3 linked regions of the Callithrix jacchus genome follow. The protein of the gene in region 1 interacts with the protein of each later gene in a pairwise test. Links are inferred from orthologs where the notes say so. Each region holds a gene or a part of one and is shown in the gene's direction. Other genes may lie near its edges. The genes, in order: AP2M1, TGOLN2 and FXR2.

What was found.
Region 2: the proteins of AP2M1 (region 1) and TGOLN2 interact in a two-hybrid assay, tested with the Homo sapiens proteins (2 studies listed by BioGRID). The link is inferred for Callithrix jacchus from reciprocal best matches to the Homo sapiens genes AP2M1 and TGOLN2.
Region 3: the proteins of AP2M1 (region 1) and FXR2 interact in binary tests that used the Homo sapiens proteins (3 or more experiments, as listed by UniProt). The link is inferred for Callithrix jacchus from reciprocal best matches to the Homo sapiens genes AP2M1 and FXR2.

Annotation. Positions count from the first base shown.
Region 1 is NC_133516.1:13,158,402-13,164,038, forward strand, and holds the start of AP2M1 (AP-2 complex subunit mu), read left to right. Parts: upstream 1-1,843; 5' UTR 1,844-1,948; intron 1,949-3,915; 5' UTR 3,916-3,958; coding exon 3,959-4,032; intron 4,033-5,637.
Region 2 is NC_133515.1:27,701,509-27,707,440, forward strand, and holds the start of TGOLN2 (trans-Golgi network integral membrane protein 2), read left to right. Parts: upstream 1-2,428; 5' UTR 2,429-2,455; coding exon 2,456-2,501; intron 2,502-2,717; coding exon 2,718-4,081; intron 4,082-5,552; coding exon 5,553-5,638; intron 5,639-5,932. UniProt on the Homo sapiens protein: May be involved in regulating membrane traffic to and from trans-Golgi network.
Region 3 is NC_133506.1:74,095,977-74,101,179, reverse strand, and holds part of FXR2 (RNA-binding protein FXR2), read left to right. Parts: intron 1-136; coding exon 137-230; intron 231-1,651; coding exon 1,652-1,768; intron 1,769-5,203. UniProt on the Homo sapiens protein: mRNA-binding protein that acts as a regulator of mRNAs translation and/or stability, and which is required for adult hippocampal neurogenesis. Specifically binds to AU-rich elements (AREs) in the 3'-UTR of target mRNAs.

The DNA of each region.
Region 1 (5,637 bases):
TGTCTTGGATTCACTTCTCTTTCCTTTCTATTTACTCCCAAAATGGAGTCATTCATCCTGATATCCTCAATTGCTGCTGATATGCTGGTGATTCCCAAATATATAGCTCCAACCCCAACTTCCCCCAGACTTCAGATCTGTATTAGTGTTACCTACTGGACATCTCTGGGCATTTCCATATGGACTCACGTGCCCAACCAAGTATGTTTCTCCTGAATTCCTGTCCTGGTTACCTTCATCACAATCTACATAGGCTCACCAGCTAGAAACATTTATGAGCTTACATTCCTTCTTCCCATATCTTACTCATCAGCACATCATATCCATTTCACTCCAACAATCTTTCTTGAATTTTCCCTCCCTCTCCTCTCTGTCTCTACTTTAATTCACTGGAGCATGGGATTTGGAGTCAGGTTGTTTTGGGTTTGAATTCCAGCTCTACTATTTTTGGTTGTGTGATAGGAGAGTTATTTAACCTCTCTGAGCCTCAGTTCCCTCGTATGTAAAATGATGATAATAATACCTACCTCACAGGGTTGTTGTGAGGATTTAAATTAGATATTGTACGAAAAGTGCCTAGCACAGTGCCTGGCACACAGTAGAGTAGGTGCTCAATAAATGGTAGCTATTATTATTATTATTTTATCATTATTATTTACTCTGGTAGCAGTTTAGGGTATTTTTGGAAGATAAAGCTTTTTGCAGAGGTAGGAGTCTTGAAGCCTTGAGTGCTGGTTCAAAAATTAGAAATGCCAATATTCAGTCATTTAATGACTTCAGGCTGTGACTACGATTTGGAGGAGGTCAGATCTTCATCCAGCCACATCGTGGCATCTGGCTGGAGGCTGTGAAGGACTGTAACATTTGCAACCAGATCTGCCCTTTCTTGCCCTTCCTTCTTCCCATGACAGGTGCAGTCCTGCCCAAGGAAGGCAGCAGTTTCTCTCTGCCCACAGAAAGAGAGGAGCCAACAGATCTTCTTCAGATTCTGCAAGAACCAAGCAAGCCCTTCATGTTTGAGGGTTGGCTCTATCTCCTCAGCTTGGATGTAAAGCTTATGTTTATCAAAGAGGAGATTTCAAATCCCATGTCCAACTAAATTCAACTCTTTTAACATCTTTTGAGCAGCATATATGCCTATCACTAGAAGTCATAACAATCGTATAGCTAAGGAGAACATTGGCCCGTTCATGAAAAGCTTTAGCTGACCTCGAGGAAGAGTGTACAGTCATGGACATATTTGTGAAAAGCTTTAGTTTCTTCCCAAGTAGTCGCCTCCTTCCTCCCCGCTCTTCTCCTTGGGTCTTGAATCCCTTGGAAAAAGCTCATGTCTGGAACAAATGTCTGAGAAAAGCTTGGGAGAATCAGAGGTACAGTTAGAAAGCAGTAAATTCGGCACAAACACTTCTGCCAAGTTGCATTTATTTGTGTGTAAAGTGAGGACAGCCAGTCTTGGAACTCTGGAGACAGAAAAGGCCTACAGCAATCCGAGGTTTAACAGATGTGCTTCTACAAACGGCATTAATATTCCAAAGCTCTCTGAAACAAATAGAAACAGGAAGAAGTGCAGAGACTACAATTCCCAGAGTGCTCAGTGAAAAAAAAATAAGGTGGGTGGAGCGGTGTATGCTGGACTGTGTATTTCTGGTAGGGCCGACTAAGGCCACGCCTATCTCTCCCCCTGAGGCGGGGACGGTTTCTCGAAGGCCGTCGGTAGTTGTGGTTTTGCTAAACGTAGAGCGCTTCAAATCGCTAGCAAGGAGGCACCGAAGCCTGACGGGATTTGTAGTCAGCGCGGGAGGCGGGCGCGCAAGCGCAGCCGGCTCCGGGGCGGGGCCGCGGCACTGCGGTGAAAGCCCAGGCAGCGGGCAGACGAGCAGGGGGCGGGCGGACATCTTGGGATTCCGAGAGTGGCCAGGCCGGCAGAGCATAGGGCCGCGGACACCAGGTGAGCCGGGCATCTGGCCTTATGGGTTGGGGGAGAACGCCGCGGGTCGTCTGTCCCGCCGCCCAGCTTTGCCTGCCCTGCACTGAGCTGGGAGAAAAGCTGCCCACACCCGGGAGTGGCTTCAGCCTTCAGACCCGGGAGCGAGCGGACGGTGGGGCGGGGGCGCCCAGGGCGCGGTTGCAGGGCTGGCGGGGAGCGGCGCCCTCCACCTGACCCGCCTGGCGACTCCCATGAGGGAGACCGCCTGGAATCCTCCCAGAGCAGGAACACTGCGCAGCGCCCCCTCCCTAGGATCCTGCCAGCCCCCTGGCCCTCCGCGCAAGGACAATTTTCCCGTCTCGTAGGACAGTGACACCCCCTTGTGCCGCCGCCTTGCACCGTGACAAGTCTCACACCATGCAGCGCCCCCTCCTCTGAGTTCAGTGACACCCCTTGGCTCTTCCTTAGACCTGTGACAGCCCCCGCACCCCGTGGCACCATTTTTTCCCACGATGCCCTCCCCAAGGCGAAAAGCCCACGACCCCCTCATTACTCTGCAGCGGAATCCCAGACAGGTTCTGTCAGCCCCAGCTTGTTCACCACTGTCAATCTCCCCCTGCCGGCTTTTCCTTCTTAAAGCCTTGACCTTTTCCATATAGGGAACTCTTACCTTTAGGTGCACCCCACCAGCCCAGTTTGCTGCTGTGAGCTCACCTGGGGACTCTGCCTGGCTGTCGCTGCAGGTCTTTCCCCTTAACTAAATGTTCCATTTCTGCCCAAGGCCCCACCTCCGGCTCTCCGGTGCCCTGCGCTACCTACCACCCGGTACCTGTGGACTTGGTTCCTTGCCCCAGGCTCTACCTCCATTTTGCATCTCCTTTCCTAGGCTGTTTGGAACTGAGGCATGGGATGAGTCTACCACCTTGAGAGAGCGCTCACCCCTCTGGAAGACCTTGACAGCCACAGGAAAAGGCCTTATTTTCCAGTTTGGAAAAGTCTGCTAAAGTACTTCCTGTGAAATTAATACCAGGGCTAATCCAGGAAATCTGAAACCAAACTAGCGCCTTTTCTCAAACAATTTAAATTAATTTGACCCAAATAATTTGGATAATTCAGGCATTCTGACATCCCTGGCTCTTGCTTAGAGGTACCCAGGCCAGCAGTGAGTTACTAGATGGGCCTGGATCACGATTTCGGATGGAAGGATTTCTTAATTTTATGAGCTTGCACCACCCCCACCCCCACCGCAGTCCTCATTTTTATTGCATTCCAGAGCTTTTTGAAAGGGGAGCGGTGGTCAGAGGTAACTGTGATAGTAGCTTGGGTGATGGAAGTGTAGTCTGCCAGCACTGGACCTTCCTCCTTTGCCCTTCGCCTGCTTATTCCACTGCCAGGAAGAAGAGGTTAAGCCACACTCGCGGGTCGACAGTAGGGCCTAAGGGCTCCCTTCTCTTCTCCTCCTCACACCCTTTCCTGGAATGTGAGTGCCGGAGGTTCAGGCCCTGCGACCTTCTCTGAAGGGTAGTGGAGCCCTACCCGAGCGACTGGATGCTCTAAAGGTTAGGCCTGGGGGCTCCAGGCCTGAACCAGCTGTCGTAATTCCTATTGCCATTCCTGCAGCGGCAGGCAGGCAGGCCTTAGTGACTCACGGGCTGGAGCCTGAGACTGCACAGGAGGTGGCCGAAAAGGATCATTTCTGAGCTCAGTGCTCAGGAGAGGGGGCGGGGGTTACTGATGCTCAGCCCCAGGAAAGGGAGGGTCAAAATGGCCTTAGAGTCCTGGGCCTAACCTCTCTCCTTTTCTTTCTCCCATCCAGTGTGGAATAAACAGGAACTGGAGCCTGGCTGAGGGGAGGGGCCTGTCTGGGAGGGCTGCAGGGTCACTTGCTAGAGGGTTGAGTCAGGAAAAAGGCTCCAGTGACCTGCACAGCTCCACAGGGGATGTTGGCAGGGGTTCTGAGGCCTTTTACCCGCCCCTGCCTATCCTAGGTCTGTTCTCAGAGCGATGGGCCTCGGAGACTGATCTGCCGCCATGATTGGAGGCTTATTCATCTATAATCACAAGGGGGAGGTGCTCATCTCCCGAGTCTACCGAGATGACATCGGGTGAGTCCCCTGGCCCAGCCAGCTGTGCCCCCCTTCGCCCCCCCTCCAGCCCCAGCATGCAGGATTAGGTCTGTTCCCACCAGAGGCTTGACTTGGGCCACTCCGACTCCTGGCTGCATCCTGGAAGCCCAGCTAGTTAGCCTGGCTCCCATTAGGTCTGGTGGTATTGGCCTGGCAGGCAGCCTGCAGGCCACAAGGTGGGACCTGTGGAATGGCAAGGTCCCACAGCCTGAGGAACTCCTGCCCTTCCTGCATCCCGTTTCTTTAGGCCTGGGTGCTCTGGGTGCTGAAGATGAGTGCTTTTGCCCAGGCTACTTAATTCCTTCCTTGAGGAGGAGGGAGAAGTGCCTCCAGTGGGTGGAGTTAGTGGCCAGGCTGGAGGTCCTAATCCATCTAAGCCTTGCTCTCAGAAGCCCTTCTCATGTCAAGCGCCTTCACTGGATTCTATTGAAAGCCTCTCCAGGCTGCCGAATCCTCTCAGGCTTCCTTTCTCAGGAGGAGTCATGCTGCTGACTCAGCTGTCTTCAGTTCCTCTGGGCCATTCCTGGGGGAGATGCTGGGAGGAAGCGTGAGGCACTCTCCGGGTCATGGAGGGAGGGCAGGGAGGCCATGCTGCCGTCCCTGGCCTATCAGACGGCCATGCTGCCGTCCCTGGCCTATCAGACGGCCATGCTGCCATCCCTGGACGGCTCCATATGCTGGGCCCCTTAGACCTTCTCACAGCCACAGCCTGCCTTCTCATTCTGTGCCCCCTGGACACCCTCGTTCTTTCCGACTGAGGGGACCTAGCTAGCCTTCGAGGCACTAAGGAGATGAGGCTCCTCTGGTTCCTGCTGCCTGTTGTTCTTCCCCAGAGAGCTGGAGATAAAGTCACAGAATGGGCCTGTTGCTGTGCCTCTCACTTGACTCCCTGGGTGTTGGGCTGGCCTGGCCTTTGAGGCTGTTTGTCTGTTGGCTGGTGGAGTGCCATGGGCTAGAGCTGCAGCTATGGCAAGGCCTGGCCTGGCTGAACCTGGCTGGCTACACCCCACCCCAGCCCCTCCTGCCTTGGATGGACTGGGCAAGCCAAGGCTGATCATGCGCCGCCTTGCCTGTCCCGTCTGCCTCTGCCTCACAGTGTGTGCTCCCTCCCGGTGTGTTGTGTGTCTAACCCTCTCTCTCGTTGCTGTCACTCTCCTCTTCTTGCTGGCGTCATTTCTCTCATCCCATCTCATTGGCTGCCGTAGCAATAGGTAAGCGGCCTCTCAAGCTGCTGCCCAGGTACAGGTGGGGGGGCCCTGCCCCCATCATTGTTTTCCTGCATCCTTTTCCATTCCCTGAACTTGCTCTGGAGTTGGATCCTGGCAAGAATGGGTTGCACAGTTCCACAGCCCCTTGGTACCTCTCCCTCCTTCGTGACTTCTGAAGTCATGCTGGCTTTGTCTAACTTCTGGAGGAGCTGGCCTTCCCCACTGCTGGGACACTAGCGGGAGGACTGGAGAAGAAGTGTCTCCTCCTGTCCTGGGCCTGGGAGCTTACGGGGAAGCTAGAGAAAGCTGGGAAACTGGGCCAGCCCTGGGAGTCAGGACTGCCTGTCTCTAAACCTGATGAACTTCACGTTATTAA
Region 2 (5,932 bases), on another chromosome or scaffold:
AGTTGTACATATTTATGGGGTACATGTGGCATTTTTATACAGGTATACAATATGTAATGACCAAATCAGGGTAACTGGAATATATATCACCTCAAACATTTATGTATTCTTTGTGTTGGGAACATTACGATTCTTCTATTTTGAAATATATAATGTTATTGTTAACTATAATTTTCCTACTGTAGTATTGACTCCAGAGCTTACTCTTCTTGTGTATCTGTATTTTTGTACCCACTAACCAACTTCTCTTTATCGTCCCTCTCCTCCTTCCCTTCTCAGCCTCTGGTAACGACCATTGTACTCTCTATTTCCATGAGATCCACCAGTCTCAACTACTTGCAAGGCTGAGGTGGGAGACCACTTGGGCCCAGGAAACAGAGATTGCAGTGAGCTGAGATTGTGCCACTGCACTCAAGCCTAGGTGGTAGAGCGAGATCCTGTCTCAAAAAAAAAGAAAAGAAAAGCGATGGTCTCTTGCCATGTTGCCCAGGCTGGTCTGGAACTTCTGGGCTCAGGTGATCCTCCTGTCTCTGTCTCCCAAAGTACTGAGATTACAGAAGTAGATATCTCTTCGATATACTTATTTCCTTTCTTTTGGATATATATCCAGCAGTGGGAATACTGGATCATATGGCAGTTCTATTTTTAGTTTTTTGAGAAACTCTATGTGCTGTTTTCCTTTATTTTTTTATAGAGACAGGGTCTTGCTATGTTGCCCAGGCTGATCTCGAACTCCTGGGCTCAAGCCATCTGCCTGCCTCAGCCTCCCAAGGTGCTGGGACTACAGGTGTGAGCCTCTATGCTCTGCTAATACTGTATTCCATAATGGCTATACTAATCTACATTCCCGCCAACAGGATATGAGCATTCCCTTCTTCTCATCCTTGTCAGTATTTCGTTTTTTTTTTTTTTTTGATAACAGCCATTCTAACTGGGGCTGAGATGATCTCTTATTGTGGTTTGGATTTGCATTTCCCTGATGATTAGTGATAATGAGCATTTTAAAATATACCTGTTGGCCATTTGTATGTCATTTTTTGAGATATATCTATTCAGCAGGTATTTGGCTCATTTCTTTTTCTTTTTTTGAGATGGGGTCTCACTCTGTTGCATAGGCTGGAGTGCCTTGGTAAGATCTTGGCTCACTCACTGCAACCTCTGCCTCCCAGGTTCAAGCAATTCTCTCATCCTCAGCCTGCTGAGTAGCTGGGATCACATGCACAGGTCACCATGCCTGGCTAAATGTTTTGTTTTTGTATTTTCGGTAGACACGGGGTTTCATCATGTTGCCCCGGCTAGTGCCCATTTTTTAATCAGATTTTTTTTTCCTTTAGTTTCTTATATATAGTTTCTCCCATTGCATAGGTGGGTTCTTTGTTTCCTTTGCTGTGCAGAAGCTTTTTAACTTGATGCAATCCCATTTTAAGACCTATCATTTCTTAAATCATTGTCTTCAAAGCACCTAACCTTGCTAACGTTCATAAGGTGATTTCAAGCATTTAATGTATAAACATAACAGTAACTGTAAACTGTGGGATATAAAACTATTTACCTGATTATCCCAATATGCGGAGAAAATAAATATGTATAGAAAAAAAGAGAAACATACTAAGAAGAGAAAGTACTTTTAACAAAACTAGACGGAAACATAATAAACTAATGTAAGTGGTAACCTGTGGACGAGTAGGGAGGAAGACTTTTCTAAAGTCTATTTACTTTAAAATCTGGTTTTGATTTCTGAAACATTATATTAACTAATCAAAACATTAAATGTTTACAGGGCAGACAATACACTAAAACATTAATAGTGATTATCCCAGAAGGGTGGGAGTCAGATTTTGTTTTCTGCTTCTCTACATTTACGATCGGAATAAAGGACACGTTTTGGTAAAGATGTCTGGTGACCTCAGAGGACTCAGTCTCCGTGGAGTCGGGAAGGAGGACGGCTGGGATGCGAAGGCAACGCTTTGTAGGTAATCAAACGGATTTGTTCCCACATGGGAGCGACCAGAGCACAGCATGTTTGTGTACTGCGAGGAGGGAACCACGAAAAAGGCAGAGCTTAGAAACGCAAGCACTGGCTGGTGGTGGCCAAGAGGAGCCTGGCGCCAGCGACCTCACTCCCGCGGCCAGTGGGCGAGGCGAAGGAGCTCCTGCTCTGCCTGTAAGGTCTAGGAAGTACGAGGCGGAGAGGACGAAAAACGGAGAGCCAGTCTGTTGTGGCTGTGGTGAAGAGAAACCAGGAAGATAAAGCTCGCTCTCCACTCGGGGACCGTAAGCGCAGCAACGAAAAGCGAACACACACAACAGCCGCAGCAGCTGCCCCCAGTCCCCGCCCCTTGACCTGGCGGAAGCGGGAGACGGAGAGGCGCGCGCAGCAGGGGCGGGGCTGGAGAGGGACTCCATCCGCGGATCTCGCGGGAGCGTTAGAGGACGGAAGCGCTATCTGAGCAGGATGCGGTTCGTGGTTGCGTTGGTCCTCCTGAGCATCTCAGCGGCGGGTAAGACCCTCCACCCCGCATCCCACTCTTGCCCCCAGCCTCCATTCTCACATGGGGCGGTCACCATCTAGGCTCGCTTCTTCCCTGCCCGACCCACCTCTCCGCTCGCCAGCGGCTCCCGCCCCACCCCACAATCCCCATTCGCCCACTGCCCCCGATCTCTTCCAGCTCTGAGGAGTTCCTTGTTCCGGCCTGCTAATTTGTTTTGTATTTCAGGAGCCGCTCCGCTCCCAGACTCCGAAACTGCCAAGAAAGAAGAAGCTGGAGTTCCTTCTACAGGAAGGGATTCCAACCACCCCACCTCGAGCCAGCTGCCGGGAGGCTCTACCAGGTCGGATCCGGAGCCGCAGACTCCAAAAGACAGCTCCAGCAAGTCGAGTTCCGGGGTGCAGACCCGAAAAGACAGCCCCAGCAGGTCAGGTGCGGACATACAGACCGCAGAACACGGCCCCAGCCAGTCGGGTGCGGACGGGCAGACCCCACAACACGGCCCCAGCCAGTCGGGTGCGGACGGGCAGACCCCACAACACGGCCCCAGCCAGTCGGGTGCGGACGGGCAGACCCCACAACACGGCCCCAGCCAGTCGGGTGCGGACGGGCAGACCTCACAACACGGCCCCAGCCAGTCGGGTGCGGACGGGCAGACCCCTGAACATGGCCCCAGCCAGTCGGGTGCGGACGGGCAGACCCCACAACACGGCCCCAACCAGTCGGATGCGGATGTGCAGACCCCACAACACGGCCCCAGCCAGTCGGGTGCGGACGTGCAGACCCCACAACACGGCCCCAGCCAGTCGGGTGCGGACGGGCAGACCCCAGAACACGGCCCCAGCCAGTCGGGTGCGGACGGGCAGACCCCTGAACACGGCACCAGCCAGTCGGGTGCGGACGGGCAGACGCCTGAACACGGCACCAGCCAGTCGGATGCGGATGTGCAGACCCCAAAACACGGTCCCAGCAAGTCGGGTGCGGAGGCGCAGACCCCAGAACTTGGCCCTGCCAAGTCGCGTGTGGATTCACAGGCCCCAAAAGACGGCTCTAGCAAGTCGGGTGCGGAGGACCAGACCCCAGAACACGGCAAGTCGGGTGTGGAGGAGCAGACCCCAAAAGACGGCTCTAGCAAGGTGGTTCCAGAGCAGTCTTACAGGAAAGACCCCGCCAAGCCCATCTCCAACCCCTCTGACAAGGAGCTCCCCAAGGCTAACACAAACCAGCTAGCTGACAAAGGGAAGCTTTCTCCGCATGCTTTCAGAACCAAATCTGGGGAGGACACTGACTTCATTTCTCCCCCTCAGGAGGAAGAAAGTAAGTCTTCAGAGCCTACTGAGGATGTGGAGCCCAAAGAGGCTGAAGATGATGATACAGGACCTGAGGAGGGCTCACCGCCCAAAGAAGAAAAAGAAAAGGTGTCCGGTTCTGCCTCCAGCGAGAACCGTGATGGGACACTTTTGGAGAAGGATGACCATTATAAGGACAGCTCTGAAAGTGTCAGCGCAGAGAGCAGCCACTTCTTTGCATATCTGGTGACTGCAGCCGTTCTTGTGGCTGTCCTCTATATCGCTTATCACAACAAGCGAAAGGTAAGTCGAAAGTGGCCTTCAGGAGGGGAGTGGGATTTCCTGCACTCTGGAAGCTTGGGTGTGGGTGGTTATCCCGTCACTTCTCTGCCCATGAGCGTTGGGGATTTTAAGACGAACTTCAGTTTTCCTCAGGCCCCGCTAGGCCTCTGTACTCTTGTTTGGTTAATTATGTTTTCAACCTGTCACCTGTCCTCTGAGTGTCCTCTGCTACTGCATTAGGAGCCAAGTTAGGACATTATTAGGATGTGGCATCTCCTCCTGTAACTTTGAATTTAGGCCCTTCACAGCCTCAGGGGACCTGAGTACTGGACAGTGAGAGCACATACCTTCCATCCTGTTTCCATTCCTGAGGCTGTGCGTCATTGCTAGCTTCCTTTCCCCACGTTCTGTCTTCCATCAGCAGTGACACAAAGAATGGTTTCTATTACTCGGTCTTTGATACCAGCAGCAAAGAGTCCAGGGACTTTTCTGCAATCAATAATAATTAGAAGAAAGGCCAGAAATTGCACAGACATGTACACCTTTTACTTTTTCAGCAGGGTTTGGTCTGTTTCTTAGCAACCACTCTAATGACAAAATTACTGGATTTCTTATTGAGCCCCCAAAATTTAGAAGATAGTTTCTGTAACCTGCTTAAAGTTGGGGAGTCCAATTAATGCTGGCCATGAGGCCTGTGGCTATAAAGAATAGAGGGGAAGACCTTTAGTGAAAATGGACATTCCTGGCCAGGTGCAGTTGCTCATGCTTGTAATCCCAGCACTTTGGGAGGCTGAGTTGGGAGAATTGCTTGAGCCCAGGAGTTTGAGACCAGCCTGGCCAACATAGCAAGAACTCATCTCTACACATAGTGAAAAATTTAGCCAGATGTAGTGGTGCACATGTGTCATCCCAGCTGGGAGTATGGCTTGACTGTGTGAGGTCAAGTCTTGAGTGGGCCGTGATTATGCCATTGCACTCCAGCCTGAGTGAGATCTTGTCTAGAAAAAAAAAAAAATGCATTTCTTTTTCTACCTCCAAGTGTTCATTATGCAGGGTAACCTTGGGTGTGAAATGAGAGTGATAAAGAGTATAGCTGTTGGTGTAGCAGCGTGGGGTGAAAGAGTACCTTTGTAGATAGGAAATTCTGATAATGATTTTTTTTAAAGGAATGTCCTATCCTGGATCCCTCTGGGAAGGAGTTGATAGATCTTTGACTATGTACCTTTGAGTAAATCATACAGACTCCCTCCACATGCTAGAGCTTGGACAGCTTTCTATTTGTTATTTCCTATTAAGCAATACAAAGGATTCTGATGTGATTAGCTTCTTTCTTAAAATTGCTGCAGTTTAAATAGACCTCTGTGAGTGTACTGGTCTTTCTGCAGTCAAGGTCATTAACAAATATACTACCAGGTGACTGCCTCTGATTTCAGAGGCTGAACTATGTCATTACAGAACCACCTGTTAATCATTTTCTTTTTCCTGTCCTTAGATCATTGCTTTTGTCCTGGAAGGAAAAAGATCTAAAGTCACCCGGCGGCCAAAGGCCAGTGACTACCAGCGTTTGGACCAGAAGGTAAGGAAGGAGGACCAGGTCCATGGGAGGGATAGGCAACCTCAGATGGACCCAGTAGTGGGCTTGCATTTGCCATGGCAGCAATGGCCAATTCTGGGGGTGCTGTTGCTGTTGCATTCTGCATTCGCCCTTTTTAGACCACAAACTAGAAATATCTATATACACGTATCTATGACATTAGAGCTAGAAGAGACCTTCAAATACTCTACAGCAGCTCCCTCCCTTGACTGATGAAGAAATAAACCCACCCAGAAACACTCTTTTTTTTTTTTTTTTTTTTTTTTTTTTACTGCAAG
Region 3 (5,203 bases), on another chromosome or scaffold:
ACTTGTGGCCTTAAGTGATCATCCTGCCCTAGCCTCCCAAAGTGCTAGGATTATAGGCTCAAGCCACCATGCCCAACCTCCCCTGAATTCTTCACTCTTCTGCATTCTGCCCTCTGAGTACTTTTTTTCTCTGCAGCTGCTCCAATGAAAACGTCCATAAAGAGTTCAAGAAAGCCCTGGGAGCCAACTGCATCTTTCTCAACATCACAAATAGTGAGCTCTTCATTCTGGTGAGTTTATTCTGCCTGAATTTCTTTTCTTTTTTTCTTTTTTTTTTGAGACCAAGTCTCACTTTGTCACCCAGGCTGGAGTGTGGTGGCTCCATCTCTGTTCACTGCAACCTCTGCTGCCCTGGTTCAAGTGATTCTCCTGCCTCAGTCTCCCAAGTAGCTGGGATTACAGGCTCCTGCCACTGTGCCCAGATAATTTTTGTATTTTTAGTAGAGATGGGTTTTCACCATCTTGGCCAGGCTGTTCTTGAACTCCTGACCTCATGATCCACCCGCCAAAGTGTTGGGATTACAGGTGTGAGCCACCTCGCCCAGCCTATTTTGCCTGAATTTCACACAAGCCCTTTGAACATTTTTTCCCCCTTTTAACCCCTATGCAGAAAGGGAAGGGCTTAAATGTGCTTACATTTATTTGTCAGAGAGGACTTTATTTTTCCTGATTCCTAGAGGCCCAGGTAGCCTTACCTTTCTTTAGTTTTCCTCATGTATGAGCTTTTTTAAAAACATGATAATCCTGTTGCCATCTGGGTTGGGGAACCTCTCTTGATATTTGGACTTTCAAAAAGTATATAGCTCTCACCTTACAGTTGCTCCTTGCTTTCTATTTTTATTTTTATTTTACTTATTTATTTATACATTTTTTGAGATGACGTTTCGCTGTTGTTGCCCAGGCTGGAGTGCAGTGGTGCGATCTCAGCTCACCGCGACTTCTGCCTCCCGGGTTCAAGAGATTCTCCTGTCTCAACCTCCCAAGTAGCTGGGATTACAGGCATATGCCACCATGCCTGGCTAATTTTGTATTTTTAGTAGAGACGGGGTTTCTCCATGTTGGTCAGGCTGGTCTTGAGCTCCTGACCTCAGGTAATCTGTCTGCTTCTGCCTCCCAAAGTGCTTGGATTATAAGCGTGAGCCACTGCACCTGTCCTGCTCTTTGTTTTCTCTCTAAAACCACTTTCCTTTGGTACCCCGATAATGAGCCTTTGTGGGACTCCCCCTTCCTAGCTTCATTTCTTTTTGTTTTGTTTTGTGACAGAGTCTTGCCCTGTCATCCAGGCTGGAGTGCAATGGCATATTCTCTCAGCTCACTGCAACCTCTGCCTCCCGGGTTTAAGCGATTCTCCTGCCTCAGCCTCCTAAGCAGCTGGGATTACAGGCCCATGGCACTACACCTTGCTAATTTTTGTATTTTTAGTAGAGTTGGGGTTTCACCATGTTGGTCAGGCTGGTCTCAGACTCCTGACCTTGTGATCTACCTGCGTTTGTCTCCAAAGTGCTGGGATTACAGGCGTGCGCCACTGCGCCTGGCCTCCTAGTTTAATTTCTTAACCCTTTTCCAGGGATTTAGGACTGATTCCTGGTCCCTGCCTCTCCTGCAGTATTCCAAGCCAGTTTTCGTGACTTTCCCATTGGTTTCCTCCTAGTCAACCACAGAAGCCCCTGTGAAGCGGGCATCTCTGCTGGGTGATATGCATTTCCGAAGCCTGCGCACCAAACTATTACTAATGTCCCGCAATGAAGAAGCTACCAAGCACCTAGAGGTAATTGTTAGCTCCTTTTCCTCCTGCTGAAGGGTATTGTCTTCCTCTCTTCCTACCCTGTCTTCCACCCATGCTCTTGTGTTTACAGGATAAAGAGTTTTTTACTGGGCAATTAAACGTGGGTCAGCTATTTTATCTCAGACTCCTCCAGATGACAGAGCTCTGTCATGTCATAGTGAAATTATTTTCAAATTTCTTTTAGCCAAATTATTTTTTTAAGACAGAGTCTTGCTGTGTTGCCTAGGCTGGAGTGCAATCTTGGCTCACTGCAACCTCCACCTTCCGGGTTTAAGCTGTTCTCATGCCTCAGCCTTCTGAGTTGCTGGGATTACAGGCGTGGACCACCGTACTCTGCTAAGTTTTATGTTTTTAGAGGAGATGGGGTTTCTCCATGTTACCCATGCTGGTCTCAAACTCCTGGCCTCATGTGATTCACCCATCTTGTCCTCCCAAAGTGCTAGGATTACAGGCGTGAGCGCCACACCTGGCCGATGGTACCCTCTTCGATGAAGTGAAATGTTACTTGGAAGCACAGTGCATAAAATGAATCAGAGCAGCTCTGTCTAAAAGTGGAAAGGGGGCATGACTCTTACTTCTACCAATACCCCTAAATCACCTCTGGAAACCAAACTGCTCTGCAGGATATATTTGAGAACCATTTGGTTTAAAAAAAAAAAAAAAAAAAGAAATATGAATGTCATTTGAATATGAGGTAGACATTTAAAAAAGAGAGAGAACTAGCCGGGCGCGGTGGCTCACACCTGTAATCCCAGCACTTTGGGAGGCCGAGGCGGGTGGATCATGAGGTCAAGAGATCGACACCATCCTGGTCAGCGTGGTGAAACCCCGTCTCTACTAAAAATACAAAAAATTACTTGGGCATGGTGGCGCTTGCCTGTAATCCCAGCTACTCAGGAGGCTGAGGCAGGAGAATTGCCTGAATCCAGGAGGCGGAGGTTGCGGTGAGCCGAGATCGCGCCATTGCACTCCAGCCTGGGTAACAAGAGCGAAACTCCGTCTCAAAAAAAAAAAAGAGAGAGAACCATTTGGACAATGGGAAACCACTGGACTTGGAATGCTAAGTCTTGTCATATAATTGTCTTTTGGCAAATACATTTCATTACACTGAGATTTATCTTCTTCCTCTGTGACAGTGAGGTCAGTAGGCTAGATTGTTTCTTTTTAAAAAATTTTATATTTAATTTTTTTCCTATTGGTTCATTCTCACAACTTAATAGATAAACTAGAACATTTCTTTTTTTCATTTTTTTTTTTTTAAGATGGAGTTTCTCTCTTGTTGCCCAGGCTGGAATGCAGTGGTGCAATCTCGGCTCACTGTTGGAACCTCTGCCTCCTGGGTTCAAGCCATTCTCCTGCCTCAGACTCCCAAGTAGCTGGGGTTACAGGCGTGTACCACCACACCCTGCTAATTTTTGTGTTTTTTTAGTGGGGACAAGGTTTTGCCACATTGGCCAAGCTGGTCTCAAACTCCTGACCTCAGGTGATCTGCCCACCTTGGCCTCCCAAAGTGCTGGCATTATAGGAGTGAACGACTGCTCCCCGCCTCATTTTTTTCCCCTTTGAGACAGGGTCTCACTCCCATTACCCAAGCTGGAGTAACATGGCTCATTGCAGACTTGACTTCCTAGGTTCAGGTGATTCTCCCACCTCTCCCTCCATAGTAGTTGGGATTACATGTGTGCGCCACCATGCCCAGCAATTTTTTTTTTATTTTTAGAGGGAGTTTCACTCTGTTGCCCAGACTGGAGTGCAGTGGCACAATCTTGGCTCACTGCAACCTTTGCCTCCCCGGTTCTAGTGATTCTCCTGCCTCAGCCTACCAAGTAGCTGGAGTTACAGGTGTCAAGCACCACACCCAGCTAATTTATATATATATATATATATATATATATATATATATATATATTTTTTTTTTTTTTTTTTTTAAATTTTTATTATCATTATTTTTTATTTTAAAGACAGAGTTTCACCCTGTTAGCCAGGATGGTCTTGATCTCCTGACCTTGTGATCTGCCCGTCTTGGCCTCCCAAAGTGCTGGGATTACAGGCTTAAGCCACCACGCCTGGTAATTTTTGTATTTTTAGTAGAGATAGGGTTTCACCATGTTTTCCAGGCTGGTCTCAAGGTCCCGACCTCAAGTGATCTGCACCTTGGCCTCCCAAAGTGCTGAGATTATTGGCATGAGCCTCCGTGCCCAGCCTTGCTGTGTTGCCCAGGCTGAATGTAGTGGCATGATCTTGGCTCACTGCAACCTCCGCCTCCTGAGTTCAAGCAATTCTCCCGCCTTAGCCTCCCAAGTAGCTGGGATTACAGGCACCTGCAACCATGCCCGTCTAGTTTTTGTATTTTTAATAGAGACAGGGTTTCACTATGTTGGCCAGGCTGGTCTCACACTGCTGACCTCAGGTGATCCACCACCTCCCAGAGTGCTAGGATTACATGCGTGAGCCACCGCACCTGGCCAGTATTTTGTATTTTTAATAGATATGCGATTTCGCCATATTGCCCAGGCTGGTCTTGAACTTCTAGGCTCACTCTTGAACTTCTAGGCTCACTGCTAGAATTACAGGTGTGAGCCACCACACCCAGCCTAAATATTTCTTTTTTAGGCAGGGGTAGTGGCTCACACCTATAATCCCAGCACTTGAGTGCTTTGGGAGGCCGAGGTGGGTGAATCACCTGAGGTTGGGAGTTCGAGACCAGCCTGGCCAGCATGGTGAAACCCCATCTTTACTAAAAAGATAAAAATTAATTAATGGGGCATAGTGGCGGATGCCTATAATTCCAGCTACTCGTGAGGTTGAGGCAGGAGAATTGCTTGAACCCAGGAAGTGAAGGTTGTGGTGAGCTGAGATTGCGCCATTTCATTACAGCCTGGGTAACAAGAGAAAAACTCAATCTCACAAAAAAAAAAAAGAATTTTTACTTTTTTATTTTGTGAGATAGCATCTCTTGTCACCCAGGCTGGAGTGCAATGGTACTATCTTGACTTATTGCAACCTCTACCTCCCAGGTTCAAGCAATTATTCTGCCTCAGCCTCAAGAGTAACTGGCTTTACAGGCATGCACCACTACACCCAGCTAATTTTTATATTTTTGGTAGAGACGGGGTTTCAACATGTGGTCAGGCTGGTCTCGAACTCTGGATCTCAGGTGATTTGCCCACCTTGACCTCCCAGAGTCCTGAGATTATAGGCGTGAGCCACCATGCCTGGCCTGACTAGAGTATTTCTATGATATCTTTTTGAATTCTGACATCTTAAAACTATCAGATTCCCTTTTTCCTTGGTGTTATACTATTCTAAGTGAATAGGGTGTGTGTGTTTGAATATCCATTTCCATTTATCAAGTGAATTGATCTTGTTGGGCAGCTTTTCTCTGCACCTTTGCAAATTCTGGGTCATGATAATCTT